Mus musculus: one gene and its partners. The protein of the gene in region 1 interacts with the protein of each later gene in a pairwise test. Links are inferred from orthologs where the notes say so. Each region holds a gene or a part of one and is shown in the gene's direction. Other genes may lie near its edges.

Region 1 (3,987 bases):
GCTCTAACCAGAAAGAGGGTGGGGGGGGCGGGGAGGGGAGGGAGTCAGAGCAGCTAAGCTGGAGGAGTCTCCTGGGGAAGTAGAAGGGTCCAAATGACAAAGGAGTCGATTCCACACCAAAAGCCAGAGAAGCGGAAGACAAAGAGGGTTGGCTAGGTGTAGACGAGGTGGAAAAGACACTGAAACTCGGGACAGGTAGGTGGAAGCAGAGACTCTCTGCCTTGTCAGGTTACGGAGACCGGATTTTGAAGACCAAGAAAAGGGACCTGGCTTCATTGGCTACTCTCTGTGTGACCCTAGGCAAGTTGTTTAGACTCTCTGAACCTTGGTTTCTTATTTATTACAGACATGATAAGAGCACCGTCGGAGGGTTACTGGAGTCGGATGGCCGAGTAAAAAGCAAGTGGTGACCCGCCGCGTGCTTGGCTTAAAGATGAGCGGAGTTAGGGAGGAGTTGGACCGAATGCCCAGTGAGTGGTTGATTCATTTAGTTAGGTAGTGGGTTAAATCCACCAGATTTTCAACCCAGATTCACACACTTCCTGTAGAGGCAGGATTAAAAGAGCTGGCCAAGGTGTTTGTAAACAATAAAAGTGCAATTCAAAGTTTGCCGCTGGGGGGTGAAATAGTAGGAGTTAGGAAAGAGGCTGGGCAGCGGCGGGCCGAAACATCGTTTCGTCTGCAACACTGTCAAGGCTGGGCGGATGTGAACTGCTGTGCAGTCCTCCCGCCATTTCCAAAACGCCACAGACCCTTCTTACAGCCACCATAGGGGCGTGAGAGGCTGATCCCTGGAGTCGTCCCTCGGTGCCTGTAGGAATGGAGGGTGAGAACCCGGTGCGGGCAGTGGTGGGGCGATCTTGGGACGAGTTGGTTAAGACACTCCCAACAGCTAGGACACAAAGCAGGGTGGCAGGGAATGAATGCCGCACGGCCGCCAGAGCCCAGAGTGGCAAGGGGACAAGGCTGAGGCCAGCCCAGCGGCCAGCCGCAGCGCCGCCTCCCGGGAGGAAGGCGGGGGCTGGCCCGGGGAGCGGAGGGAGGCGGAGAGCGGAGGAGGGCGGCGCGCTGAGAGGTTATTTGTGGTTCGCTTTGATCCCGAGGGGGAACCTGAAACTCTCACATTCCTGGCATAGCAGCCGCCTCCAGCGCGGGCTGACCTAGAGGCTGCGCACTGGGGCGCGAGCAAGCAGATCATCGGCGCCACCGACTAGTGCGCACCTCCGTTGCTGACTGTACCTAAGCCGAACCGGGTCTGCGTGCGCCGGCAGCCGCGGGCCGCAGCGGTAAGCAAGGTGCCGGGCACTCCGGGCAGTGCGCGAGGCCGGCGGGGACGCTTCCCAGCAGCAGCGGGACACCGCGATCAGTCCGACCCTTTCTGGAGATCGGAGCTGGGGTGGACGAGCCTCCCCGGGAGCGGGAGGGGAGACTGTGAACCCTTTCGAGGATCGATCCTGGGTGTCTAGCCTAGACTGCTCGCGCTTTTGTGGGGGTGAGGACACCATTCTCCGACCCACTGGGGCTGGAGGAAGGACAGAGGATCAGTGTTTGGGAGTGTGCGTCTCGCGTGCGGGGCAAGTGAAAAGCTGCGGTAGGCATATCTCGCTGAATTATGAGGTTACCGTGGCTGCTTTGTCTGGATTGGGGATACAGGTGGCTTTTACCCTCAGCTAGCTCAAGAATTCCTCTTTGTCTTCCTTGGAAAATCCTCTGCGGAGCCACGAACTGGCTCTCACTTAGAAAGAATGCAGCCTGCTGTCCAGTCCGGTGACGTCAGCGCTGAAGTATTTGGAAAACAAAGAGGGTTAGGGAGAGAGGCGTACCCGCGATGCTTAAAGACCTCTCGCGGTTGCGGGTTTTGCTCGCCCGGGGCGCTCGGGCAGCCACCGGTGCTAGTGGTCTGCCTCGGTAGAGGTGAGTAACGCCGGGACCCTGGACTGGCCTGGTTGACTTGGAGACTAGCGTTGGTTCCTTTTGCTGGAGTGAGCCCAGGCCAAGGCCAGAGACCCGTGTTTGCTTAGAAAGGTGGCTGGTTTTCCGAGTGCAGCGCTCCAGTGCAGCCCAGGTACAGCGCCCGTGTAAGGAAGTTGATTTTCAGTAAGTGCTCTTATATAAGTATTTGAAAGAAAGATTGTGCATCTAGGGGATTCGATTGGGACGTTTGTGCGATGAAAGGCCTCGGAAATGTTCGGTGCTCCGAGAGCCTGGCTCATAGTCGGCGCGCCTGGAATCTGCCGGGAAGGCTCAGCATTCCTTCTAGCCGCTCCCGGATCCTTAGCGCGAGTCAGCCCAGACAGTGATTAACTTAGGAAATACCGCGTAGAAAAAGCCGCGTGTGAGCAGACTCTTCAAGTCTTACACATTGCAGGGTGCAGTTGGGGGGGGGGGGGAGGATTAGTTGCTGGCTTGGGTATCGTCAGGGCTCATTACCTTTCTCCAGCTCTGCCAACATACCATTCCCAAACTGAGGTAGGACAGGGGGCTAGCATTAGTATGGCACAGAAAGGGGCCACCACCCCCTTCCTTTGTCTCCCCCCTCGCCTCATTACCCCATCAACTGGCATAGGTAGTTGTTACTAATATCAACAGAGATGCAGAGGGATCATCCCCTGTGTGCCTCTAGCATACACGTAGGGAGGGGTTTTTCTAAGTAGCAAATGTGTGTGCCAAGAAAAGAGGTTGGTGGTCATGGAAAATGTTTCCCTGGCTCAGTTACTGCAAGCTCCCCTCTGCCTCCTCACCAATTTCCATGGGGCTTCTTGTGCTGCTCACCTTGCAGAGTGGCTGCTAAGGTCATCTGTGACAGGGAGACTCAGATTTATTTTATCAGCAGCCTTTGAGCCCAGGGTCTGGCTCACGCGTCTTTATTCTAAAGAATCAATGGAATTATTTGCTTAGGGCTTCTTTCTGCTGGGCTACATTCTTTCTTTACCGCCTGCCAGTAAACTGGGAACCCTATTGCTAAGTGGTTGAATTTGATGGACGCCTGTCCTACAGTTTGCCCATGAGATTGTTTGGGGTAATGGCTGACTGCCGGGGACTGTGATATGAGATAGCCTTCTGGTTTTCTGTTGTATATCTGTAAGATCAGCTAAATCTCCATAAATGTTACAATGATAAGCATTTGCCAAGGATTTATAGCATACCAGGCGCTCAGCTTCTTACATTTCAACTCCAAGAGACACACTGTGTGTGTGTGTGTGTGTGTGTGTGTGTGTGTGTGTACATATATATGTATGTATATACATATATGCATATATATATTTATATTAATGGCAAACTAAGGATCAGAAGCTCAGTAACTAAACTTAATCAATAGATGGCCATATTAGCACTTGCATCTGGGCCTGTGTAAAACCACCCACCTACCCACCCAGCCTCCTCCTTCATCCAGAGTGTTCCTGCAAGTGCCCCTCCCTCCTTTGTTTGTGCTTCCTTTGACTGCTATTCTTTCTGTCTCTTAGGTGCTCTGAGACCAGGTGCCTGCTGGCCATTGTCTAGGCAGGTGTGTGCAAGCCAGAGAAGCATGAGGACACTGGAAGACTCCTCAGGGACAGTCCTGCACCGTCTCATCCAAGAGCAGCTGCGCTACGGCAACCTGACAGAGACTCGCACTCTGCTGGCTATCCAGCAGCAGGCCCTGCGGGGTGGGGCTGGAGCTGGGGGCACGGGGAGCCCCCAGGCTTCCTTGGAGATCGGAGCACCCGAGGACAGTCAGGTGCTGCAGCAAGCCACCAGGCAGGAGCCCCAGGGCCAGGAGCATCAGGGTGGAGAGACCCACCTGGCAGAGAACAGGCTGTACCGGCTGTGCCCACAGCCCAGCAAAGGAGAAGAGTTGCCCACCTATGAGGAGGCCAAAGCCCATTCGCAGTACTACGCAGCGCAGCAGGCAGGGTCCCGGCCGCATGTTGGGGACCGGGATCCTAGAGGAGGGGTGTCCGGAGGCGGCCGGCGACAGGATGAAGCTCTTCGAGAGCTGAGGCATGG
Region 2 (3,988 bases), on another chromosome or scaffold:
GAGTTTCGCAGTAATTTAATGTTGCTGTTTCTTTTTTAAGAAGCACTAGATTTAAAAATATTTGCAAGATTCTTATAACAAGTTTGTTTTTGTTTTTGTTTTTTTTTTTAAATAAGGTCCCCTTGCTAACCTAGATGTTCCTGGCAGTTGCAGGCTGCTGGGAGCCAGGCAGAGGATCTATGACCTCTGACAGGCTGCTCACACACCCAGTCCAAGGCCGCACACCCACAAGCATACAGGCAGCACTAATTAGATCCAGTTGGTTATTTTTAAAAAGAAAAAGATAAAAAGAGGTATGAAGTTTGGGTGGGGTTGTGTTAGGCGCTTCGGAGGCAGCTGGAGAGGCGAGTGGGAGAGGAGTTTATCAAGATACGCTACATGTGCATGGATGAAATTATCCAAAAATGCTATTTAAAATATCTTTTTTTAAAAAACTCCAAAATCAACTGACCCACCGCCCACCGATAATCATTTACATATTCACCTACTGACCGTATTCAATTCTTAAACGGGGGTGGGGGGAGCTGCACTTTGAGACAGTGTCTTGTTACACAACACTGGGCTAGACTGGAACACCTTACTTCAACCAGGCTGGCCTCAAACTAGTCCTGATCCCCCCCACCTCTGACTCCCGGGTGCTAGAATCTCAGGTGCACACCCACACACCCAGCTTCACTCAAGACATTTCAATAGACTGTAAATATAAATTCTAAACAAGGATAAACTTAAAAGTAAAAAAAAAATTTAAAGAAGCATAAAACATTTTTTAAAAGAAAATCATTTGAACAAGCCATTGTCTTTTCTCACCAGTGTGACTTATATTATGTTCCCACAGCTGTCTTGTTCGATGCCTGAATTATTCATATAGATTGTAAATATTCTTTATTTGTATACAGGATGAAAAAAAAAAAACCTGCCAGGGCAGGTGCAAGACCTGAAAGGACACCCCTTCCTCGTCCTTTTTGTTATCTCTGTTTATTAAAAAGAAACCTCCACTCCCACCACCCCCACAGGAAAGCCTTTAAAAAGTGCCTCTGGTAGAAATTTCTGGAATGGAATGAAACGTATTGCCGTACAAAAGAGGGGGAAGGGGAGACAGGAAGGTGGACTGTGTCATTCCTGAGGTGACACGGCAGCAGAGGAGGAGTCTCTTGAACTCTATAAAAGGTCATCTCCACAGCAGCCCGAGACAGACAGGCTGTGCTCCAAGTCCAGGCTACAGGCGTTGCCTCCCTACATCCCAGATGGATTTCAGTCGTCAAAGTTTTCACCGAAGTCTGAGTTCCTCCTCACAAGGCCCAGCACTCAGCATGAGTGGCTCGCTGTATAGGAAGGGGACTGTGCAGCGTCTGGGGGCTGCACCCAGCGTCTATGGTGGGGCTGGAGGCCATGGCACTCGCATCTCTGTCTCCAAAGCCGTAATGAGCTACGGGGGTGATCTCTCCAACGGATCGGACCTGTTTGGGGGCAATGGGAAACTGGCAATGCAGAACCTGAACGACAGATTGGCAAACTACCTAGAAAAAGTGCGCTCCCTGGAGCAATCCAATTCCAGACTTGAAGCCCAGATCAAGCAGTGGTACGAAACCAACGCGCCGAGCACCATCCGAGACTATAGCTCCTACTACGCACAGATTAAAGAGCTGCAAAATCAGGTGAGCCATGAAGCCTGTAATTTCTACCTCACTGTTTAGTTGCCTAATGGATTGAGAGATGTATGCTAGGTGAATTCGAACACATGAAGCAGATTAGGTTGAAATGTATAATTGAAAAAAAAATGTATTTTATCATGTGGTATCTGTAAACAGGATGAGTCTAACTCACATTTTTTCTAAAACTTCAACTAATTATATATAAAATATGATCATTTTATCATCCAAAATTGCAGTTCAAATCTTTGTTATGGCTTACAATATAAGGTCTTCATTGTGGATAATCTTATTTTTCAAAGACCTCCAATGGTTTCTATATGTGAGTTTGCCAGTAGTCTTTACTAACTTTGAAGACTCAAGTTGATTTAAAGAGATTTTTCATCTTTCATTATATGAATGTTATAACAAATATATTAACCTACTATGGGTATAAATAACAAAAGGGTTCAGGGTGGATACAGATTACAGATATTAATGATATGTATACTGATTGATAAATAGTTGTGTGATAGGGGATGGATGGATGGATGGATGGATGGATGGATGGATGGATGAACTGCTCTTTGATACAAGATCTGTGTATCCCAGGCTAGTCTGGACCTCACCATCCTCCTGCCTCCACTGCCTCAGCACTGGGGTTAAAGAACTGTGCCACCATACACGGTTCTGATACCTGGATTTTTTAGTGTCTTATTTAATTATCTCCTCACTATCACCAAGCATTTTATAATGCACCTCTGTGATAATAAAATGTTCTATTGCCCCCAATTTAAGTTTATTACAGTCATATCACAATCTGTTCCTGTGTCATCCATGGTAGGTGGGGTTCCCCTTTCTATAAAGCCAATGGAATAAAAGTGGGAGACTTCGCTCCTGACTGAGGACCTCAAGCATCGGCACACACCATTTGCCCAGCCCCGGGGTTCTTATCTCATCAGGAAAAGCCTCCCCTTGGGTTTTGTTTAAATCTCGAAATGATTGCAAAGGCCTTTAGAGCAAAGACCTTTGTCTTAACCACAGGCCTCTTGTCTTGAGTTCTGTTTGAATTACAGGCATCAATGCAGCTTAATTCAGACTTCATAGCCCATGAAGCTGTGTGGTGCTTACATTGCCCTTCTCATCAACAGGACGGTCCTTCAGGCTTCTCGATACAACACAAAATTCAAATTAAGCACTTCTCTCATGGTTGACGCTTTTGAATTGACTTGGGGATTACCCATAGTACTTAGGCACAGCCATTAGTGACCAGTGGTTAGGGACCTCTCTCCAGGAATAGCCGCTGAAAGGGATATGTCTAAAATCTTCTAGAAGTAGACTTCTAATCTACTTCTTAATACGGTGTTTGCCTTGAAACATGAGAACCTGACTTCAGTCCCCAGGTTACAAAGCAAAGCTGTAGAATGACTGTGTGTGCTTGTACTCCCAGCATTGGGAAAACAAGCAGATTCCTGGGACTTGCTGGTCAGCCAGCCTGGCCAACTTGGTGAGTTCCAAGACAATGAGAGACCCTGCCATACACACACACACACACACACACACACACACACACACACACACACAAAGGTAGCACTTAAGGAATGGCATGTAAGATTGTCCTCTGACCTCCACATACATACACCTGTGCATATAAACATGTACACACAGAGAGAGATGCACACAGATCCAGGATGTATCCATCCTTCTGTCCTGCGCCTAACTCCTACAGATAGCAAGTGCTTTAAGTGGAAACAGGCACAGACCACAGAAACCATCACTCAGAGAGGTAGATGCAGGGATGCTGTGCAGGGCAACAGCCACGGCGGCGCATTCGCTGCTATAACTGGAAGATATCATGGAGGGGCCTTGAAAGTGTTGTCTGAGCTGAGAGGTGAGGAAGCTGGAGCTCACCAAGTGAGAAGGGATAACAGCAATGTTCCAGTGTGAGCAGCGCCACAGACAAGGCGCTCACAGAGGCCCAGTGATGTGGGTGGCTTCAGCTCTCATTTTGTACAATCAGGAAGGAACTAGGCCAAATCATGACATGAATACCTCTGTCACTGCTCTTCCATGGTCATTTGCGAAATGGGCATCACTTGTGATTTAATCACAGTTGTCTCTGAGGACCAATAAAATGATCTTACACTCCTGCCTGCCCAGGGAAAAATGTCATTCTTCCTTCCTCTCACATTTCCCAGGTTAAGGATGCTCAAGTACAAAATGCCCAGTGCGTCCTGCGAATTGACAATGCTAAGCTGGCTGCAGAGGACTTCAGATTGAAGTAGGTTCTCTAAACCACGGTAAAAATATGTCTTGGGGGTGTGTGTGTGTGTGTGTTGTTTGTATGCATTTGTATGTAT
Region 3 (3,722 bases), on another chromosome or scaffold:
ACATAGGGCAGGTTGGCATGCAGTGGGGGGTGTTTCTATCAGTGGCACTTAGCTGGGGCCCAGGGGAGGAGACAGTTGGCTCTCCTCCCATTTTTTTTGAAGCTCTTTAGGCCAGCCACCCCTCTGCCCCTGGGAACCCCTCTCCCCTCTTCTTTTCTAATTCAGGGACTTTGGCTTGAGCCACCTCCCACCCTTTGGTGAGGAGTGCTCTGTTGGTCTGCACTTGGGTGAGCTGCCTCCTCCTCCTCCTCCTCCTCCTCCTCCTCCCTTTGGCTAACAGCCCACTCCTCTGCAGAGAGAGAGAGAAAGAGAGAGAGGGAGGGAGGAGGTGGCCCTCCCAGAGTGGAAGGGAAGGGAGGAGGAGGAGGAACAGAGCAGACCAGTGGCCCTGGGCTCAGGGCTGCATGTCGGCAGGGATGGATGGGTGGACATAGATGCCCCCCGGAAGCCATGGGGAATGGGGCAGGGGGCGGGGGAGGGGTGCCAGGGCTTCCTGCGCTTTGCACTATTGGGGCAAAAATGTCTTAAGCAGTGGGGAACCTGCCACCCCACTCTGACCCTCAGCCTGCCACAGCCCCTACACACACACACACACACACACACACACACACACACACACACACACACACACACACACACACACACACACACACACACACACGTGGAAGGCAATGCTTTGCTGTTCCCAGGCAGTGTCCTTTGCCACTGTTCAGGTGTTCCAACTGGGCAGAGGGCCTGGAGGAGCATCTCCTGTCACCTGTGCATGTGCCTGCCCCACTCCTTGGGGCCCCTGGGCCACCTGTGCTATCTTCATCTCTATCTTCTTTTCTCTCTCTCCCGGGGTACTGATTTCTGTATTCCTCCAGTCCCATGGATAATACTCTCATACTTCCCTCCCATACCTGGGGACTCAGTGGAGTTCCTGACCTGCCTGCTGTCTCCCTTCTTCCCCTGACTCCACTCCCCTCCATTCCCATTCTCAGCCATAGGCATGGCCTCTTATAGGCACTTGGGAATTCCCCCCTCCCCCCAATCATATGAGCTGTGAGCCCCTGCCCCTCAGCCCTTCCCCTCCCCCTCAGTGATGTGGAGTGTATGTGTGTGTTCCTTCGTGTGAGTGGATGAGTGAGTCTACGTTGTGGGAGGAGCCAGAGAGACTCAGGAGTGCCACGCACCTGCTCTAGAGAGGCAGCTGTCCCAGTCCCTGCCATGGAAGTGGGGGACAGGGCCCTCTCCTGGGGGCCATTGGTGCTAATGGGGGGATGGCCTTGGCATGGGTGCTTAGCATGCCTTCCCCCAATGTTGGCCCGGGGCACTAGGGCAGGCCGGGTGGGGCAGCAGGTGCAGTATTGATGGGAGGGGTGGGTTGCTGGGAGAAGGTTGGGGGGGCCAGGCCAGGACAAGGGGGTGCCAGAGCCATGACCACTACCCTGCCCTACCACTGCCTCTCCATCTCAGTATTCCCCCCCCCCCATCACTTATAACACACATACCTCATCCAGCCTCCTCCCTGCTCAGACTTGGGGAGGGTGGGGGAGGAGGAGCCCCTACCCCTTCCCCGGGCGGTGGGCTGGGAGAGAGCAGGGCGTGTGACATGGACACCGTCCGTCCATCCATAAGGGGGAAATTACTTCCTGCCCTAGGAACTCCTGGGTGGAGGAGGGGGACACTACCCAGAGGCGCTACTGAATGTATGAGAAGCTGGTGCTGAGGTGGGGGGAGGGGTTGTGGCTAGAAACAGGGAAGGAGATAGGTCCTTTCCCCAGAGATGGGTGGGACCGGCAGGGGTGACTTGAGGGGCTCCTCCTCCTGCCCCACAGTTGACAATCAGTATGTCTGTTATGTGCGAATTTTTCACCCCGTTGTGTTTTGGGTCAGGATTTTAAAGAAAGATATTTTTATGGTAATTGTTGCTCGTCTATTTTACTATATATTTATGTAATAAATATATGATGAAAATAACCCCCTTGGGCACCCCCCCTTAGACTTGCGTGCTGTTTCCCCATATTCTCCCATCTGCTGGCAGAGTACCCACCCCACAAGCTGACCAGATGGAGAGGTGTCTTCCCCCCCCCCCACACCCCCTTGGCAGTAGTCCCCCACCCCCACCCCAATTCCCCAAACGAGCACACATCACAGAAGCCAGCTCAGCTGTGAACTATTGGATTTGAGACAGGAACAGAACAAATCGAGGGGCCAGAGGAGGGTGGAGAGAGCAAGAGTGGTTTAAATAGGGGAGGATGGGAGCATGGCGGTGGGGGTGGGGGAAGAGTTATTTACAAGAAGGCTCAGGGGGCCAGAGGCTCATCTTGGAATATTTTATAACAATATAAATAAGATTCTGGTTTGCTTTTCCTTTTCGTCTCGTAAAGGAGAGAGAAGTGCAGAGTTCGATTCTGTACAAGGGGGCAGCGGCAGAAGGCCGGCCGGGCGGGTCACTGGGCGTCCACCCGGAAGGACAGCAGCTTCTCGGAATGCATGTTGTTCAGGGTCCGCAGGTCCGGCAGCTTGAGCAGCAGCTTGGTGAAGCGGGAAGTCTCCGAGGGCCGGTTCTTCAGCACCAGAGCCCGAAGAGCCCGCAGCAGCGTCTCCTGGAGCTGCTCCACCGAAGCGGAATTCTCCATTCCCGAGCGGTCTGTGGGGAAGACGACAGCAGTGAGGCGAGCTCCCTGAGCTCCTCCTCTGACACGGAGGACACGGAGGTCTGCGAGGACCAGGCAGGCAAGGCAGCCTCTCCCTGAGGCCCCTCGGAGGGCAACGGGAAAGGAGAAGGAGGGCGCTACTCCTTCTCCCTGGGGGGCCTCTGCCCTAGAGCGGGGCCACGCCCACACGCTGGGAGCATGGCCACAGGCTGGCCACCTCCCACTCCTCGAGCCCACCCTCCTACCCTGAGCATGCCACTCGTGGCCAAGCTCCCTTGTTATTTGCTCTGTAGTTCCCTCTGCCTGGGATGCCCTTCCCCCTCTCTATGCCTGGCAGTTATCTTGTCCCTTTGAGGCCCCACATCAAGTGTCACCTCCTTCCCCAGCTCTCCCGGGCAGAAATAGTCGTCTGTGCTTACTTGGTTCATGCTTCTTGTGTGACACTTCTCGCTGTTTTATAATTAGTCGGGCATGAGTCTGTTTCCCAAGCTAGACTGTGTCTGAATCATGTCTGTAGCCCAGTGCCCAGTGCTGGGCCTGGCATAGAGTAGGTTCTCCATAAAAGGTATGTTGAATTGAACTGCGTGTGCCTCCTCCAGGGTCAGGGGAGAGCTTGGCTCACCTGCAGAGACAAGCACCACCGCGGTGAATAGGCCCAGCTCCTCCTCGGTAAGTGCCAGGGAGTTGAGCTTCTCGCTGAAGTCAAACATGGCATTGAGCAGGTCGCCCATGCCCATGGCACCGAGCTCCTGCAGACTGTAGGTTGTGCGGCTCAGGAACATCACTGTCTGGTCCTTCACGTTGAACAACGATGCAAAGCGCACCATCAGCACCTGAAGGGAGGGTGGACATTTTTTGAGTGAGATGGGAGGGGCATTTTGCCAAATGACCCCTAGAGCCTGCTAATAACTTTGAGGGGTGTTTCCTTAGATTGTCAGTAAGGGGGTCAGTCTCTGATTGGTCAATGAGGGATGCAGGTGGGAGTGCCCGCCACTTCTGGAATGTAATTTAACCGAAGGTCACCAGCTCCGGCCTAGAGTAGAGGAGAGTTGTCTCTTTGGTTACTCTGATGCACTGAGT
Region 4 (4,093 bases), on another chromosome or scaffold:
AGGTCACGTTTGTGGTCACAACTACTCGGTCCTCTTCTGAGGACTTCAAAAGGCTTAATTGCCTGTGCCTCTTTAGAGCTGTCCAGGAAGGGGTAGCAGGCTAGTGGCACAGAGAACACCACTTGGCCTGAGCCAACCAGACTTTGAAGAGAAGGCCTTTGCCTACTGATACTTCTAAGGCTCTCTATCCTGGGATCTAAGCAGCAAATCCCACCATAGCCAGTAACGCAGGCACAGTGAAAGCTTACTGTGGGTTGTAGCTCACAGAGTAGCTGGTTTCAGGGCCAGGATTCCAAACACCTTGAAAGATTGAGAGACAATGGTGAACATGAGGAGATATTTCTAAAAATGAGCCCTGCAGCTGGATATGGACTGGAGATTCAGTTCTGTGCTTCCTATCTGTATAAATCAAAGAATAACAATCTTACTGAGCCCAAATTCCTTCAACTACAAAATACAGGCAGAAATAGAACCTCACTCGTGGGTTTTGTAAAACTGCTTTATTTCTTCCACTAGATGTGGTTAAAAAAATCAAAATAGTATTTTATATACTCAAGCATTTCCCTACTTCCATTAAAACCTCTGGAAAATGTTGGGCTAGACAAATGGCTAAGTGGTTAAGAGCACTGACTGCTCTCCCAGAAGACCAGTACCCACATGGTGGCTCTTAACCATCTGTAACTCCAGTCCAAGGGATCTGACCCTCTCTCTGGCTGCCTTGGGTACCAGGCATGCCAGGATTGCATAGACATCCATGCAGGCAAAACATCTATATACGTAAGATAGAACTTGATAAATTTGGAAAATATAGGGACACAGGTACTCTCTGTGAACTTCGCTGGATCTCAGCTTGATCATACAATCTGTAATGATCTGAATTGATCCACTTTCATTGTCTTCCTAACAAGAATGCTACTAGAAGTCAGGGATGCTTCACTCTGTAAATATTGAGTTAGGTAGAGTGAGTGTCCCCTAGCTTTGCAAATAGAGGCTGGTATACACAAGAGACTCGTTGGAAGACTCGCTGGACACACAAAATGTGTGTGTGTGTGTGTGTGTGTGTGTGTGTGTGTGTGTGTGTGTGTGTGTGTGTGTGTGTGTGTGTGTGTGTGTGTGTGTGTCGGTGTGTGTGCTTGTGTCTCTGTGCATGTATGTAAGCTCTAGGTGTGCTTGCAGGTGGCTGGCGCGAGTCGCAAAGCCTCTGTGTTTGCCCTCATGGTCAGCAGATGGCGCTGCAGGCCTGGCCTACAAAAGACGCTCCAGTCCCGGAACCCGGAAGCGTCGGCCGGAGGGGGCGGGCCTAGGGCGCCTAGAGTCTTGCGAGTTGGGAAGGGTTAGTGTCCCTCACCTCGACTTGCATCCTCTTCCCGCCCCTTCGTCCCGCGCTGGCACGCCAGGACCTTTTCCCTAAGTAGAACTGAGGAATGCCCAGAGTGGGGGACTCGGCGAGCGCCCAAGTGACAGAGAGCCCCCAGGGCATCCTGGGTTTGTAGGGACTATGGGCATGCTCAGGGCAGGGCTGTGCCCGGGCCTCACCGAGGAGACCGTCCAGCTTCTCAGAGGCCGAAAGATAAAAACAGGTGACCTCATGGGCACTACCCCGGGGGTCGGCACCGTGGTCGTGGTACACATACGGGGCCTTTTGCTCTAACAGGATGGCCGCACTCTTCCTCTGACTTTCTGAGGAAGCTGGGTTCGCAGGAGCCGAGGCAGAGGATTTTACTGAGTGCTGGGCCCTTTGCGGGGTCGGTCCTGCATCAGGGCCTGCGTGCTCGAGATAGGTAGTAGAATAAGACCTTAATCCCGTTTGACAACAGAGCAAAAGGCAAATGTGGCAAGGCTAAGCCATTCCTGCTGCCAATCACCTGCACCTGCTCTCTTTCCAGTGGCAGACCTGGCAGCTGCTGACTTGGAGGAAGTAGCCCAGAAGTGTGGCTTGTCCTACAAGGTGAGCTCGCGATCTGCAAGCTCCATTCCAACCCCTCTTCCAGCTGCGCCCCCACGCTGCAGGATCAGAGTTCCTTGGGATAGATGGGGGGGGGGGGGGGCGCTGCTCTGAGGGGGCAATCTGGCGGGCCTGGAGCCTGAGTGTCCGCCCTATTGGCAGGCCCTCGTTGCCCTGAGGAGGGTGTTGCTGGCGCAGTTCTCGGCTTTCCCCTTAAATGGCGCAGATCTCTATGAGGAACTGAAGACTTCCACGGCCATCCTGTCCACCGGCATCGGAAGGTTTGTATGCGAACCTGGACAAGGTGAAAGCAGAGACTGAGGCTTCAGAGGACGGGGCTGGTGAGGGCAGTCCAGAGCGGTAGAGGAACTGCAGGCGTGTGGACTCCTGAGTGTTTTTCCCTAGAGTAAAACTGTAGGGTTTCTTAGCCTCAACACAATTGATGGGGGGGGGGGGGGGGGAGGCAAGTCGTTATTTCCTGAGATAGAGATATCCTGTGCGTTGAGAGTCGTTTAACAGCATCCCTGGTCCTTCTCTACCCACCAGATGCCAAGATGCCCCCAGTTTTAATAATCAAAAAATGACTCAGTATCTCCAACAAGCTAACTTTTCCCAGTGAAGAGCCACTGTCCTATAACATAAGATGTCGTTAATACCCCCATTGTTTAGTAGAGTCCACCATACGTCAAAATAAAGCAAGTAGCAAGTGAGACCCGGGGAAGGATTGGGGTCCCGGGAGTCTGCACTTTTGCGCTGACATAGGCCAGTGGTTTTCAACCTTCCCAGTGCTGTGACCCTATAATACAATTCCTCCTGTTGTGATGACCCCCCCCAACCATAAAATTACTGCTTTGCTACTTCATAACTGTAATTTTGCTACTGTTGTAAATCATAGTGTAAATCTCTAAAAGCAATATAGTCGGATCTGCCACCCCTGTGAAAGGGTTGTGCAGTCGTCGGAGGGCTTGTGTTGTGACCCCTGGTTGAGAACTGCTGCCCGAGGTTATGGATGTTAGAAGTTATTGACCTCCCTTGTGGTTAGCCTAAGAAAGGGGCCAGCAGAGGTGAGCCCGGGGTTATCTGATCCAGAACCTGTTGTCTCTGCCATCTGAGGCAGCAGAGGGGAACGGGCATACTCCAAAAAGAGCAGTTACATTGTGCCCTGTTGTTCGGGTTGGGAAAGAATTGGAAGACAGCTAGCATTTTCTGGCCAAGCGAGTCTGACCTCTCTCCCGGCCTATTTGTGCGGAGCTTGATGAATAACACGGCCATCACAGAGGTCTTTGGATCGGTCTGGCCCTTGCTGTTTCCATAACACATTCTCTTGGCAAGGTCCGCACAGTCTGGTGCTTGCTCTCGCTGGTTGGGGGTCTGTGTTTGTAATCCATCAAACATTGGCTGAGTGCCTACTGGGTGCCAGACACATGCAGATGCTCTCTGGAGGAGTGGGGCTCAGGATTTTAACTTAATTCCAGCTGACTGTTCCGAGGTATACTTGGAGGTGAGAGGCCACTGTGAAAGCATTTGTAGGCTATGGGGCATAGCTGTGCAGGACAGACGGGCCAGCCAGCCAGGAGAGGCCAAACAGGGATCTTGTGTTGCTGGTTTGGGTTGTGTAAGTCTGAACCAGGGTTTGTGACCACGGAAGACATGTTGAAGGAGAGATGTGAGAAGAGAGACTTACTGTGAGATCAGGTGTAAATTTGAAGAGTCAAAGGTGGTGGTTTGCTGGGCTGAAGAGTTGGCCTAGTGGTTAAGAGCACTGACTGCCCTTCCAGAGGTCCTGAGTTCAATTCCCAGCAACCACATGGTGGCTCACAACCATCTGTAATGAGATCTGATGCCCTCTTCTGGTGTGTCTGAAGACAGCAACAGTGTACTCATATACCTACGTAAAAATCTTAAGGAAAAAAAGATGGTTTTAGATTTCCCTCCAGTGTGCTGTGCCTACCTAGTGGATGTAACTTTGAAACCGGGAAGGTAAGGCTATAGGCAAGGTTAGTGAAACTTGTGATTAGCATGCATTAAACCTGTTAAACAGGGTCCTTTGCTGTGGGCCTTCTTGGCGTGCTGAGGTGCAGCGTAAATCTTTGCAGGGCAGACACCGCTGTAGATGGAGGGATCAGTTATGCCTTGCAAGCCAGAGCT
Region 5 (4,069 bases), on another chromosome or scaffold:
CCCCAGGATGGGACAAACCATTCTGGTACCAATCCTAGGGAACTTGAACACAGAATAGAAAGACAGGGTTTTGACCACTGGTCAGCTGGGTTGTGGACCTTACAGCATCCATCTCTAAGGGACCTCCTAAGATCATATCCCTAAGGTGCCCCCTTACTGTTTAGACCCACGGTAGTGGTGATTTTGGATAGACTCATCCCCTTGTAGTTCTTGTTAAAGCGTGTTTTTGACTGTTCCAGGAAAGTCTGAGGAAAAAAAGAGAGGGGGTTAGATAGCAGCAGCTAGAGTAGTTTTCTGGTGTCCTTCCCACCTATCCCTTCACACCCATGCAGCCATGCACGCCTCTGCCTGTGGCTTGATCTTCAGGAGGCTGGTGACTACTAACCTGTAGCCTTGGGGCGGGGGTTAGATCAGGCAGGGAATGGGAACTGGTGAGAGAGCAGGGACCTACCGTCTTCCCAGCATTGTCCAGGCCCAGGATCAGGATGCAGTATTCATCCTTCTGGAACATGTACTTGTACAATCCCGAAAGCAGCGTGTACATCCTGTTCTGGCACCCTGAGAGATGTCAATGTGTGTACCGGGGGCATCGGCCTCCTGCCCTGCCCGCTTCATCAGCGGTCCGCCTCTCCTGCTAGTTTTCAAATGTGTAGCCTCGCGGATCCTGACTCTTCGCCCCCATCCCGCCTCTTCTGTTAAAATCCCTGACCCTGATTCCCCCGATGCCATCGCTGACCACGTGCTAGACCTGGGCCACTCCCACTTAATGTCATCTTTCATAATGCACCATCAATTCGGAGTCCTGAAAAGCCCGTGGCGGCCTGCTCTGCTCCGCCTTCCTAAGGCTCCTCTTTCCGAACCCTCAACTCAGAACCAGGAAACGCGGCCGGCGACTTAAGTCTAGGAAGCGACCAGAGAGGCAGAGCTCCTGAGGAGGGTCGGCTTCGGCTTCCCGCCGCCGCCGGGCCCACGGAGCCTGGGAACCAGCAGCTGAAGCCACTTCCGTCCCCCTGTTCCAGGACTTTAGAACCCCGGCCCCTCAGTCCAGCTGAGGCCCACCCGTACCTGCTCAGATCTTGGAGGAGGAGCCGCCGCCGCCGCCGCCGCCGCCGCCGCGTTCCTAACCCCACCGACCTCACGCTGACCCCTCACAGTGCCTGACGGAACAAGGAGCGAAGGACGGAGCACGGGCGGAATCGCATCCCAGCGGCCCCCGCGCGCAGGTACTTCCGGCAGCTTCGGCTCTCCGGCGGAAGTGCCCGGCGGAGGGCAGAAGGCTAGCGCGTGAGCTTGGCTGGCGAGGGCGGAAGCCCTTCTAGCCTGCGAGCGCCGGCCGGAGGTGGGGTTGCGGGCCGCAGAGGACGGGGCGGGTGACGTGCAGGTCCCCCTCGGCGGAACCGCGGCCCTCCTCAGGCTCCCTAGCGGTTTTGGGGGCGGCGTTGCCCTGAGTTGTTCTTACTGCTCTTCCTCCTGTTTTTGTCTGCGGTAAAGGTTCCGAATCCTGCCTGCTGGGTCGGGATGGACGAGGACAACCTAGAGACTGCCCTGCAGACCTACCGGGCCCAGCTGCAGCAGGTAGAGCTGGCGCTCGGTGCTGGCCTAGACGCTTCTGAGCAGGCGGACCTGCGTCAGCTGCAGGGCGATCTAAAGGAGCTGATTGAGCTCACCGAGGCCAGCCTGTTGTCGGTCAGAAAGAGCAAGCTGCTGTCTACAGTGGACCAGGAGAGCCCAGCTCAAGAGGATGCTGAGTACCTGGCTTTCCAGAAGGCCATTGCGGAGGAAGTGGAAGCGCCCGGCGCCCCCTGCAATGACTCGGAGACGGCCCCTGGGAGCGAGGTGCAGCCGGGATCCACCTCCTCTGCACTGGAGGAGGAGGAGGAGGACCCAGATCTGGAGGAACTGAGCGGTGCTAAAGTGAATGCCCCCTACTACAGCGCTTGGGGCACGCTGGAGTATCACAACGCTATGGTAGTGGGCGCCGAAGAGGCGGAGGATGGTTCTGCGTGCGTCCGAGTCCTCTACCTATACCCTACCCACAAGTCCCTGAAGCCCTGTCCGTTCTTCCTGGAGGGAAAGTGCCGGTTCAAGGAGAACTGCAGGTAAAACCCTCTGCTGCTAGCAATGAAGGGCACGCAGTCGGGACCACCGCTGTGGCCTGTCGCCACAACTAGTTTGGCACCCAGCAGAGTTGGTAATAGAGTCCAAACCTTAGGTGACTGACAGGCTTTTACAGAAGTGTTCTCCGTGTGTTTACTTAGATTTTTCTTGCATACATCAAGAAGTTTGAAAGAGCTTATGTTGAAAAGATAGGGCAATCCTTCATCAATATTCTTCTCCAAGGTGTAAAACTTTTTTTTTCCCCTTTGAGATAGCAGTGTAGTAACTCTCGATGTCCTTGAATTCTTGATCCGTCAGCAACTCTACTACATCCTGAACGCCTTCAGTTTCCAAATGCTAGGATTACAGGTGGAGGCCACCACTTCTACTGGGCTACATCTCCAGCTCGGAACCTTTTTTCTTTTTTTCTCTTTTTAAAAATTTATTGACTATGCTGAGGATGGAATTAGGGCCTCCAGCACACCAGGCAACCAACTACTGTACACCTTAGCCCCATCCCAGCTCCTGTAGTTTGCATAGTCTTACAGAAAATTTCAAACACATAATCTCTTGCTGACTTGCCCTACCTTCCCCCCCACCCCCCGTGCTACTTGAAAGCACCTTTCACAAGTTACATCTTTTTCTCTCACCCTCAAATACTTCAGAATGTAGCTGAAATAATAATTACTAAAACTGATTTATGTCTTTTTTTTTTTTTAACTCAGTCATCCAGAATAACCCTCTAGTACTTTGAATTTATTTATTTTAGGCCACTAAAATAAAAAGATTTGTTCTATTATAATGGTAGTAGTGAACTAAAATTAGTTTCACTTGGCAGGATTTTAGGCAGGGCTAGAGCCTTGGAAGTCTGAGGGCAGAATCCAGAACCCATTTCTTTGTCCATTTTTCTTTAAGGTTGTTATTATTATTTTATTTTGATTTTTAAAAAAATATATTTTAAAGATTTATTTATTTTGCTGGGCATTGGTGGCGCACACCTTTGATCCCAGCACTTGGGAGGCAGAGGCAAGCAGATTTCTGAGTTCGAGGACAGCCTGGTCTACAGAGTGAGTTCCAGGACAGCCAGGGCTACACAGAAAAACCCTGTCTGGAAAAACCAAAAAAAAAAAAAAAATTATTTATGTATGTGAGCACACTGTTGCTCTCTTCAGACACATGAGAGGAGGGCATCAGCTCTCATTGCAGATGGTTGTGAGCCACCATGTGGTTGCTGGGAATTGAACTCAATACCTCTGGAAGAGCAGTCAGTGCTCTTAACCACTGAGCCATCCCTCCAGCCCCTTATTTTGACTTATTTATTTTTTACTTTTTTAATGTTTTTCTCTAAAGATCCATCGGTTGCTTTTGTCTCATTTTGTTTTGGTAAGGTGGTTTGATACATGGTCTCTATGTAATCCTGGCTGTCCTGGACTACATACAGCTATGAAAGGCCTTGGCTGGCCTTGAACTCACTACCGAAAGGCTGGGATTAAAAGTTTGCACCATGGCCTGACTATTTTAGGCTTTTTTGAGACAGAGTTTCTCTAGTAGTCCTGGTGGATTTCCTGGAACTTACTATATAGATCTGGCTAGCCTGGAACTCAGAGGCATGCACTACCATTTCTGGCTAAGATATATTTTTAGTTAGTGTGTTTGTGTGTGTGTGTGTGTGTACGTGTGTACGTGTGTACGTGTGTACAGGTGCCAGAAGAGGGTATAGGATCTCCTAGAGCTGGCGTTCCAGGTGGTGGTGGTGACCTGCCGAACATAGATCCTGGAAAACAAACTCAGGACTTCTACAAGAGCAGTATCCTCTCAGCCACTGAGCCATTTCTCTAGCTCTATGTATTTACATTTATCTTTAGATTGCGGTGGGGGTGGGGCATGTGTACAGGTAGGTGCCCAAGAAAGCTAGAAGAAGGTGTTGGATCTCCTAAAGCTGGAATTGCTCACAGAAAACATTAACCACTGA
Region 6 (3,933 bases), on another chromosome or scaffold:
AGGTGTAGCTCTCAGAGGACAACCTGTGGGAATATGTTCTCTCTTTCCACCGTGTGGGCCCTGGTGATAGAACTCAGGTCAGATCATTGGGCCTGGGTGGAAAGTGCCTTTACTGCTGAGTCGTCTTACAGTCCCCACAAGAGTCTTGATGGAAAAGAAAAAGGAGACTTGATGGTGTGCTCTTGAGATGAAAATCTTTTCATGTCTTGTCACCTAAGGTAAAATCTAAATGCCTTTAAGTTGGGTCCTTTGTTCCAGCCTCATCAGTAGCCACCCTTCTCCCACACCATAAGCTTCCTGGGCAAGTTAGGCTCACTGATGCCTGACGTCCCTATACACCTTTCCACTTTCCTCCATGCTGGTTTCCCACATCTGCATTGAGCTTGGCAGTCTACTCATCTCTCAAACTTCAAATCATTTCCCCTAAGAGTCTCTGTCCTGGCAGGTGCCTCATCTCCTTTATACCACTTCTGCAATGCCCCGACACACTAGTGTGAAGGCAGGAGCTACCTGTTTGAATCTCTGTGTCCTTGCTGTTAGGAGTTTCTTGGGACAAGGCCATGCTTCTTCAGTAGTGCTATCTGGCATAGCATGTAGTATGTTGAGAGGCAGACTGAGATAGGACTCCTAAACTTCCTAGCTGAGTGACATTGGACATGTTACCCCTCTGTACATTTTACTCTATGTTCCCGTAAGTGTAACTCTTGTGACACAGCCCTGACCCCAGCATATGCTGGTATGCAAGATGGGCCTTATGGCTATATAATGCCCCTTTTACTAATCAGAACTAAGGGAGGGAGCTATTATGCTTTACGTTAACCAGGTACCGGCCTCGTTTTCCTAGTATGAGTCCTAACTGTTGCCCCAAATGTTGGACATTGCCCCAAATAGTTTGATGCGTCTTTCATCTATGTTTTTGGGGCAAATGCAGTGCGACGTCGCCCCCTGTCGCTCACTGGTGGTAGCTTGAGGGCAAAGTTAGGCATCTCCAAACCACTGCTCAGGTGCTTGCTCTAGACTTACCTACGGGTTACTCCCTCTCCAGGCCACCAGCAGACACGGTGCGGAAGCCCCACCCATCTCACGCCCACGGCGGGGCGGGGTCTGTGGCGTTTTGCTGCCGTCACTTCCAGGAGACCCGGAAGCGGTGCTGTTCCAGTTGTTGGGAAATCGTGATGGAACCCGGCTTAGTGTAAACCCTGGGCTTATCGTGGGCGGAGGGAGGCGGGTCTAGGTTGCGGTGGCCACAGGAGCGGCTAGGGCGGGACAGGCTCAGGGCCTGTACTGGAGAGCCTAGGCTGACTGCTCCTGCTAGGTCAGCGTCACTCCGCCTCCAGGTTGGAACTGGCTCCCACCTTCGGCCTGGCTCCTGCAGTGCTTTTGCCTGGCCACCGCGGCCCCTCATCCCGCCCGGACCGCTGGACGGACCGGGTGTATTGCCTGCAGCCAGACGGTTCTCTCTGCTTCACTTTTAGCTGTCCCTGTGGCTCTGCCCAGGGCTGCAAGAACGTTGACGTGGAGCGGTCCACGCCAGAACCCCCATGGAGAAGTTTGGGATGAATTTCGGGGGCGGCCCAAGTAAGAAGGATCTCTTGGAGACCATCGAGACACAGAAAAAGCAGCTTCTCCAGTACCAGGCAAGACTCAAGGATGTGGTGCGTGCCTATAAAAGCCTGCTGAAGGAGAAAGAAGCCCTGGAGGCCAGCATCAAGGTACTGTCGGTATCCCACGAGGCGGATGTAGGCCTCTCAGGTGTGCAGCCTCCAGGTCTCACGTTTCCTGATTCTGTGGATGACCGGTGCTCCACTCACAGTGAGGACAGCACCGGAACTGCCACTAGCTTGGATACCGCAGCCAGTCTTACAAGTGTCAAGGGTGAATTTGGGGTTGAAGATGACAGAGCGGCCCGTGGACCACTTCCCCCAAAGTCTGAAGAGGCCAGTGGGTCAGAGAGTGGCGTTAGTAGTAGCAGTGGGGATGGGCCATCTGCCGGTAGTGAGATGGACAAAAGAGTGCATCAGCTGAAGACTCAGTTGGCCACTTTGACTAGCTCCTTGGCGACAGTCACTCAGGAAAAGTCCCGTATGGAGGCGTCTTACCTGGCGGATAAGAAGAAGATGAAGCAGGACTTAGAGGATGCCAATAAAAAGGCAGAGGAAGAGCGGGGTCGCCTGGAGGGAGACTTGAAGGTGCTGCAAGAGCAGATAGCAGAAACCAAAGCCCGCCTCATTACACAGCAGCACGATCGTGCCCAGGAGCAGAGTGACCATGCCTTGATGCTGCGCGAGCTTCAGAAGCTCTTGCAGGAGGAGAGGACCCAGCGCCAGGACCTGGAACTTCGCTTAGAAGAGACCAGAGAAGCCTTGGCAGGGCGGGCATATGCCGCTGATCAGGTCGAAGGGTTTGAACTGCAGACCAAGCAGCTGACCCGAGAGGTAGAGGAGCTGAAAGGTGAGCTGCAAACCATTCGAGATGAGAAGAACCGACCAGACCCCCGGCTGCAGGAGCTTCAGCAAGAGGCTGCCCGTCTTAAAAGCCATTTCCAGGCCCAATTGCAGCAAGAAATGAGGAAGGTAATTATTCTCATATCCTTCAAATAGTCATTTTAGCTTACATAGGAAATTATTATTTTTCTCTTCTGGTCATTAGATAACTGTAATGCATCCCTATGTGTGTGTGTGTGTGTGTGTGTGTGTGTGTTTGTTTCTCTGTGTGTGTTTTCATGAGGCAGGGTCTTACCATGTAACCCAGTCTGCCCTTGAACTCACAGGGATTTGCCTGCTTTTCCATACCAAGTGCTAGGATTAAGGGCACCCCTCTCCCCACTTAAGGCAGGGTCTTGTTTTAGTCAAGGGATGCCTGGTGAGATAGCGTGAGTTGTTAGTGTGAGTACTGGGACTTTGGTCTGGTTCCACATTCCCAACATGCATAGTGATATTTGATGCCAAGTGAAAAAATTGCATCAGTGAGTCCCGTGAAGTGTGGCTTTGTGTGGTGTCCTTCTAACAGGATGAAGAGTTCCTGAGTATTTCTGGGTTCAAGCCAGATAGCTCTATCTAGGCCTTGGGTGTTGGCATCTTACCAGCTGTGCTGCTTGAGGTGATACAGTGACAGCTGTGTAGGGAAAGCTTGTGTGTATCCTGAGAAGTGTGTGCTTCTAGGTAAGGTGACTGGAGGAAGCAAAGGGGATTTTCCCCAGAAGAAATGCCTTGTGTATACGCTCAGGTGAGGTTTGCCTCAACTGTTTTATAGTGTTCCCTTTCAGTAGAGAGAGGGATCTAGGTTGGGTTTGAATTTACAGGCATGTTGGGAAAGGGAAAGAATGTTACACGGTTTCTTTAAATGATTTGGCTAACAGAAACATACTTTGTATTCAAGCTTAATGAAGAATGGAAAACTATGGTAGAAAGGGCACTTCAGTTAAAAATCCCCAGTTCCCACTTGTTCTGGGTTATTCCAAGCCCTGTTCACTTCTCTGTCTCCTCCCCCACACCCAGTTGACTCTAGGGGTTTTGTGACTTTCCTGGATGCCTTGTCACCTGTTCTTTGCTTTGCAGACAGCCCTTGCAGAGGACCAGCTCCGCCAGCAGTCTCAGGTAGAAGAGCAGAGAGTAGCAGCCCTGGAGAGCCAGATCTCTGAGGTATCTGAACTGCTGGGCACCTACGAGAAAGCCAAGCAGAAAGACCAGCTGGCCATCCAGAAGCTGAAGGAGCGACTTCTGCAGCTGGACCTGGAGAACAAGACACTGGCCCTCGCAGCCTCTAGCCGGTCCTCCCTTGACATCCATGGCGACGAATCCAGTCTGGATATCAATGTCTTGAAGGACAAGATGGAGAAGCTCAAGAAGCTACTACAGGTTGCAGCTAGGAAAAGCCAGGTGACCCTGGATGTGGAGAAGCTCTGCGACCCTGAGATAATGGCCAACTCCGAGG
Region 7 (3,500 bases), on another chromosome or scaffold:
CTCTAACGAGGCCACACCCCCTAATAGTGCCATGCCAAGCAAGCATTCACACACACACAAGTCTACGGGGGCCATTCCTATTCAAACCATATCTATCTAATAAATAAAGGTAGAAACAAGAGTTTGTCAGCCACTCTCCTGTGTACACAAGGTCTACAGAACCTAGCTAAAACTTTCCATCAAATCCTTGGATGTTACAGGCCACATATGCATGGTCTCCTAAACCCAAGGCCAGGCCAGCTTTCAAACCCCCGTAGTTACAGAAGCTGTACCTGTCCCCATCCTGCAGAGCAAACCCACAGGATATGTGTACTCATCCTCACCAGGTCCTCATGGAGCACAAAGCCACCATCATCCAGAAGTACGCCCGAGGCTGGATGGCACGGAAGCGTTTTCTGCGGGAGCGGGATGCAGCCATTGTCATCCAGTGTGCCTTCCGGAGACTCAAGGCCAGGCAGGAGCTGAAGGCCCTCAAGATTGAGGCCCGCTCGGCAGAGCATCTGAAACGCCTCAACGTGGGCATGGAGAACAAAGTCGTCCAGCTACAGCGGAAGATTGATGACCAGGTCAGTGGTAGGAGTCTCCTACATGGGTGTCGAAGCTTAGGGGATACTGGGACATGCTTGAGATGGACCCCCAAGCTTTCTCAGGGAGCTGCAGGTACCAGAGACCTCAGGGGCATTGCCCAGTCAGTAAGAATAGTTGCTGAACATAGTCACTGAATAGTGTCACTCCCCAACAAAGGCAGCACGCCCCAATCTTCGGGATCTACAAATGTGCTCTCTCACACACAACAAGGAGCTTTGCAAGAGTGCATATGTTAGAGGTGTCTGGATGGGAAGGTGGCCTTAGGCTGTCCAGGTGGACCCCATGGGATCATAGCGTGCTCACGAGAGAAAGCTGCAGACAGGATTGGGGAGCAGGATGCAGAGCCACAGGCTCCAGTATCCAGGCCACCTTTGGGAGCTACAGATAACAGTGGGAGGTTTTCCCCTGGAGTCTCTAAACAACCACAGTCCTGCTGGCCACCTTTAGAAGCTCCTTCCAGAGCTGCAAAATAGTAGCTTACATTGTTCTGAGCCACCAGCTTCATGGTACTTTTTTTTTTAAGATTTATTTATTATTATATTTAAGTACACTGTAGCTGTCTTCAGATGCACCAGAAGAGGGCGTCAGATCTCATTACGGATGGTTGTGAACCACCATGTGGTTGCTGGGATTTGAACTCAGGACCTTCAGAAGAGCAGTCGGTGCTCTTAACCACTGAGCCATCTCTCCAGCCCTCCATGGTACTTTTTAATGGAGCAATAAGAAATTGATAGATTCGTCCAGAGTCCTGAGGCCCTGCCTCTCCAGAGGCTTCACAGTATAGCTACAGCAATGGCTGTGTGGACCCACACCGTGTTTCCCTCTTTGTTTATGACGGTCCCCATGAGGTAAATGTTGGCATCCTGTCTGATATGACATTGGTATTGCATTGATTAGGCTTTTTAACTCTGCACTGGCTACCTTCGCACGTCAACCAGCTGGATGAGCAGTGTGTCAATGCCCACTATGGATGGAGTTCTGTGACAGGATCTGAGGCAAGCGTAAAATACTGCCTTCTTTGAGGTCATGTAGACTCAGGAGAGAAAGGATGAAGGCGCACATGGTGTGGATGTGAGGAAAAGAAAAACCTGGCAGTGGGGGACCAGCCATAGCAGTGGGGGACTGGCCATAGCAATAGGGGGCCAGCTGTGGCAGTGGAGGATCAGCCATGACAGTGGAGGATCAGCCATGACAGTGGGGGATCAGCCATGACAGTGGGGGACCAGCCATGACAGTGGGAGAGCAGCAGTGGCAGTGGGGACACTTGATCTTAATGTACTCATGCTATAGTAGGCATTTTTGGAGCTTCTCATAACCTGAGGGCAGGAAAATAGGTGAGTCATTTTGTTTTGTTTTTGTTTTTATTGGTATTATTTTTTAAAGATAGACTTTTATGTAGTCCAGGCTAGCCTCAAACTCCATTTCTGGCCAAAAATGACTTTGAACCTCTGACTCTACCTCCCAAATGCTGGAAGCACAGTGGTAGGCTACCAGGCTCAGTTTTATCCCCTGCTAGGGCTCACCCCTGCTTCATGCCACAGGGCAAGCATCCTGCCAACTGAGTCACATTTCCAGTACAATGAACCAGTTTTTGGCTAAGCTAGCTGTCCTACACATGAGCCCCTGTGTGGAGACAGCTGACAATGGGGCACTTTGCTTTCCTGTTCTGGGCAGAGACCAGGCTTGTGGAAGAGCCAGTGCCCTGGGTATGTGTTCTCTTGGAGTTACCCAGAGTGTTGGCTTGGATGCTGTCTTAGTTAGGGTTACTATTGCTGTGATGAAACGCAATGACCAAAAGTAAGTCAGGAAGGGAAGGGTTTATTTGGCTTAGACTTCGACATCACAGTTCATCATCAAAGGAAGCCAGACCAGAAATTCAAACAGAGCAGGAAGCTGGAGGCAGGAGCTGATGTAGAGGCCATGGAGGGGGTGCTGCTTACTGGCTTGCTCCCCATAGCTTGATCAACCTGTTCTCTTATAGAACCCAGGACCACCAGCCCAGGGACGGTACCACCCATGATAGGACCATCCATTGGTCTTCTCCCCCGCTGATCACTAATTGAGAAAATGCCCTACAGTTGGATCTCATGGGGGCATTTCCTCAACTGAGGCTCCTTCCTCTCTGGTGATTCTTGTGTCGAGCTTATACACAAAACCAGCCGGTACAAATGCTCAGTATAAAAAGACAGCCCTCCCAGTGTGAGCTGGGGATGCCCACTTCCTACCCTGGTCAGCCTGTGGTGACCCAGCAAGTCAGGGAGAGGTCTGTGAAAACACAAAGCACCACGGTGTCCCCTGTTTCTGTCAGGACTGTCAGTGCCAGTGACCACTGAGTCACTTTTCTAGACACAGTGTGGCCAGAGGACAAGGCGACTAAAGCCACTGTCCCTACTAGGGAGGAGCATCTGTGTACCCAGGCCCCCCCTGGGCCCTGGTTTCAGATAGTGCTCAGTATTGGCCTTGCTGGTGTGTGAGGTCAACTCCAGAGGATAAAAATAACACGGTATTTCCCACCCCACGTGCTTGAACGTCGGAGAGAAGCAGATTTGAAAGGCCTATTTTTAAATAAAGCTCTCGCCTTAAGCTTTCTGCTCGGCAAACATTTGTGAGCAGTGGCAGATGCTGTCACCCTGGGCAAGGCTCCCTGTATACAGCAGGTAATCAGGGAACATGTGAGATCTTTCTCACACTGATTCCCTTGTGGTTTTCATGCCAGGCACTGTACCCATGCCTTAACCCACTGATCTTCACCACACCTATGGGATAAGTATTGCTATCATCTCCATTTTAACCATGAGTGCACTTAAGGGCACAGAGGGGATAAGTAACCAACCAAAGGATGCACAGCCAGGAAAAAGCCTGGCTGAGATTGAAGCTGCTTTCAGGGAGGCTTTGCCACCTCTGGCTGGGTT

Evidence for each region.
Region 2: the proteins of Amotl2 (region 1) and Krt20 interact in binary tests that used the Homo sapiens proteins (3 or more experiments, as listed by UniProt). The two-hybrid records come from large-scale screens. The link is inferred for Mus musculus from reciprocal best matches to the Homo sapiens genes AMOTL2 and KRT20.
Region 3: the proteins of Amotl2 (region 1) and Thra interact in binary tests that used the Homo sapiens proteins (3 or more experiments, as listed by UniProt). The two-hybrid records come from large-scale screens. The link is inferred for Mus musculus from reciprocal best matches to the Homo sapiens genes AMOTL2 and THRA.
Region 4: the proteins of Amotl2 (region 1) and Rad51d interact in binary tests that used the Homo sapiens proteins (3 or more experiments, as listed by UniProt). The two-hybrid records come from large-scale screens. The link is inferred for Mus musculus from reciprocal best matches to the Homo sapiens genes AMOTL2 and RAD51D.
Region 5: the proteins of Amotl2 (region 1) and Zgpat interact in binary tests that used the Homo sapiens proteins (3 or more experiments, as listed by UniProt). The two-hybrid records come from large-scale screens. The link is inferred for Mus musculus from reciprocal best matches to the Homo sapiens genes AMOTL2 and ZGPAT.
Region 6: the proteins of Amotl2 (region 1) and Gcc1 interact in a two-hybrid assay, tested with the Homo sapiens proteins (2 studies listed by BioGRID and IntAct). The two-hybrid records come from large-scale screens. The link is inferred for Mus musculus from reciprocal best matches to the Homo sapiens genes AMOTL2 and GCC1.
Region 7: the proteins of Amotl2 (region 1) and Myo5b interact in binary tests that used the Homo sapiens proteins (3 or more experiments, as listed by UniProt). The two-hybrid records come from large-scale screens. The link is inferred for Mus musculus from reciprocal best matches to the Homo sapiens genes AMOTL2 and MYO5B.

Annotation. Positions count from the first base shown.
Region 1 is NC_000075.6:102,716,617-102,720,603, forward strand, and holds the start of Amotl2 (angiomotin-like protein 2), read left to right. Parts: upstream 1-1,187; 5' UTR 1,188-1,286; intron 1,287-1,776; exon of another isoform or gene 1,777-2,097; intron 2,098-3,464; coding exon of another isoform or gene 3,465-3,526; coding exon 3,527-3,987. UniProt on the Homo sapiens protein: Regulates the translocation of phosphorylated SRC to peripheral cell-matrix adhesion sites. Required for proper architecture of actin filaments.
Region 2 is NC_000077.6:99,435,354-99,439,341, reverse strand, and holds the start of Krt20 (keratin, type I cytoskeletal 20), read left to right. Parts: upstream 1-1,188; 5' UTR 1,189-1,244; coding exon 1,245-1,655; intron 1,656-3,826; coding exon 3,827-3,909; intron 3,910-3,988. UniProt on the Homo sapiens protein: Plays a significant role in maintaining keratin filament organization in intestinal epithelia. When phosphorylated, plays a role in the secretion of mucin in the small intestine.
Region 3 is NC_000077.6:98,765,785-98,769,506, forward strand, and holds the end of Thra (thyroid hormone receptor alpha), read left to right. Parts: exon of another isoform or gene 1-2,372; coding exon 2,373-2,741; 3' UTR 2,742-3,222; downstream 3,223-3,722. Other genes in the region: Nr1d1 (nuclear receptor subfamily 1 group D member 1), read right to left, coding at 2,436-2,635, 3,265-3,475.
Region 4 is NC_000077.6:82,887,825-82,891,917, reverse strand, and holds the start of Rad51d (DNA repair protein RAD51 homolog 4), read left to right. Parts: upstream 1-1,293; 5' UTR 1,294-1,498; coding exon 1,499-1,580; intron 1,581-1,886; coding exon 1,887-1,948; intron 1,949-2,107; coding exon 2,108-2,226; exon of another isoform or gene 2,227-2,249; intron 2,250-4,093. UniProt on the Homo sapiens protein: Involved in the homologous recombination repair (HRR) pathway of double-stranded DNA breaks arising during DNA replication or induced by DNA-damaging agents. Bind to single-stranded DNA (ssDNA) and has DNA-dependent ATPase activity.
Region 5 is NC_000068.7:181,364,154-181,368,222, forward strand, and holds the start of Zgpat (zinc finger CCCH-type with G patch domain-containing protein), read left to right. Parts: upstream 1-1,269; 5' UTR 1,270-1,518; coding exon 1,519-2,099; intron 2,100-4,069. Other genes in the region: Arfrp1 (ADP-ribosylation factor-related protein 1), read right to left, coding at 158-245, 452-544. UniProt on the Homo sapiens protein: Transcription repressor that specifically binds the 5'-GGAG[GA]A[GA]A-3' consensus sequence. Represses transcription by recruiting the chromatin multiprotein complex NuRD to target promoters.
Region 6 is NC_000072.6:28,418,925-28,422,857, reverse strand, and holds the start of Gcc1 (GRIP and coiled-coil domain-containing protein 1), read left to right. Parts: upstream 1-1,133; 5' UTR 1,134-1,541; coding exon 1,542-2,573; intron 2,574-3,557; coding exon 3,558-3,933. UniProt on the Homo sapiens protein: Probably involved in maintaining Golgi structure.
Region 7 is NC_000084.6:74,701,119-74,704,618, forward strand, and holds part of Myo5b (unconventional myosin-Vb), read left to right. Parts: intron 1-326; coding exon 327-566; intron 567-3,500. UniProt on the Homo sapiens protein: May be involved in vesicular trafficking via its association with the CART complex. The CART complex is necessary for efficient transferrin receptor recycling but not for EGFR degradation.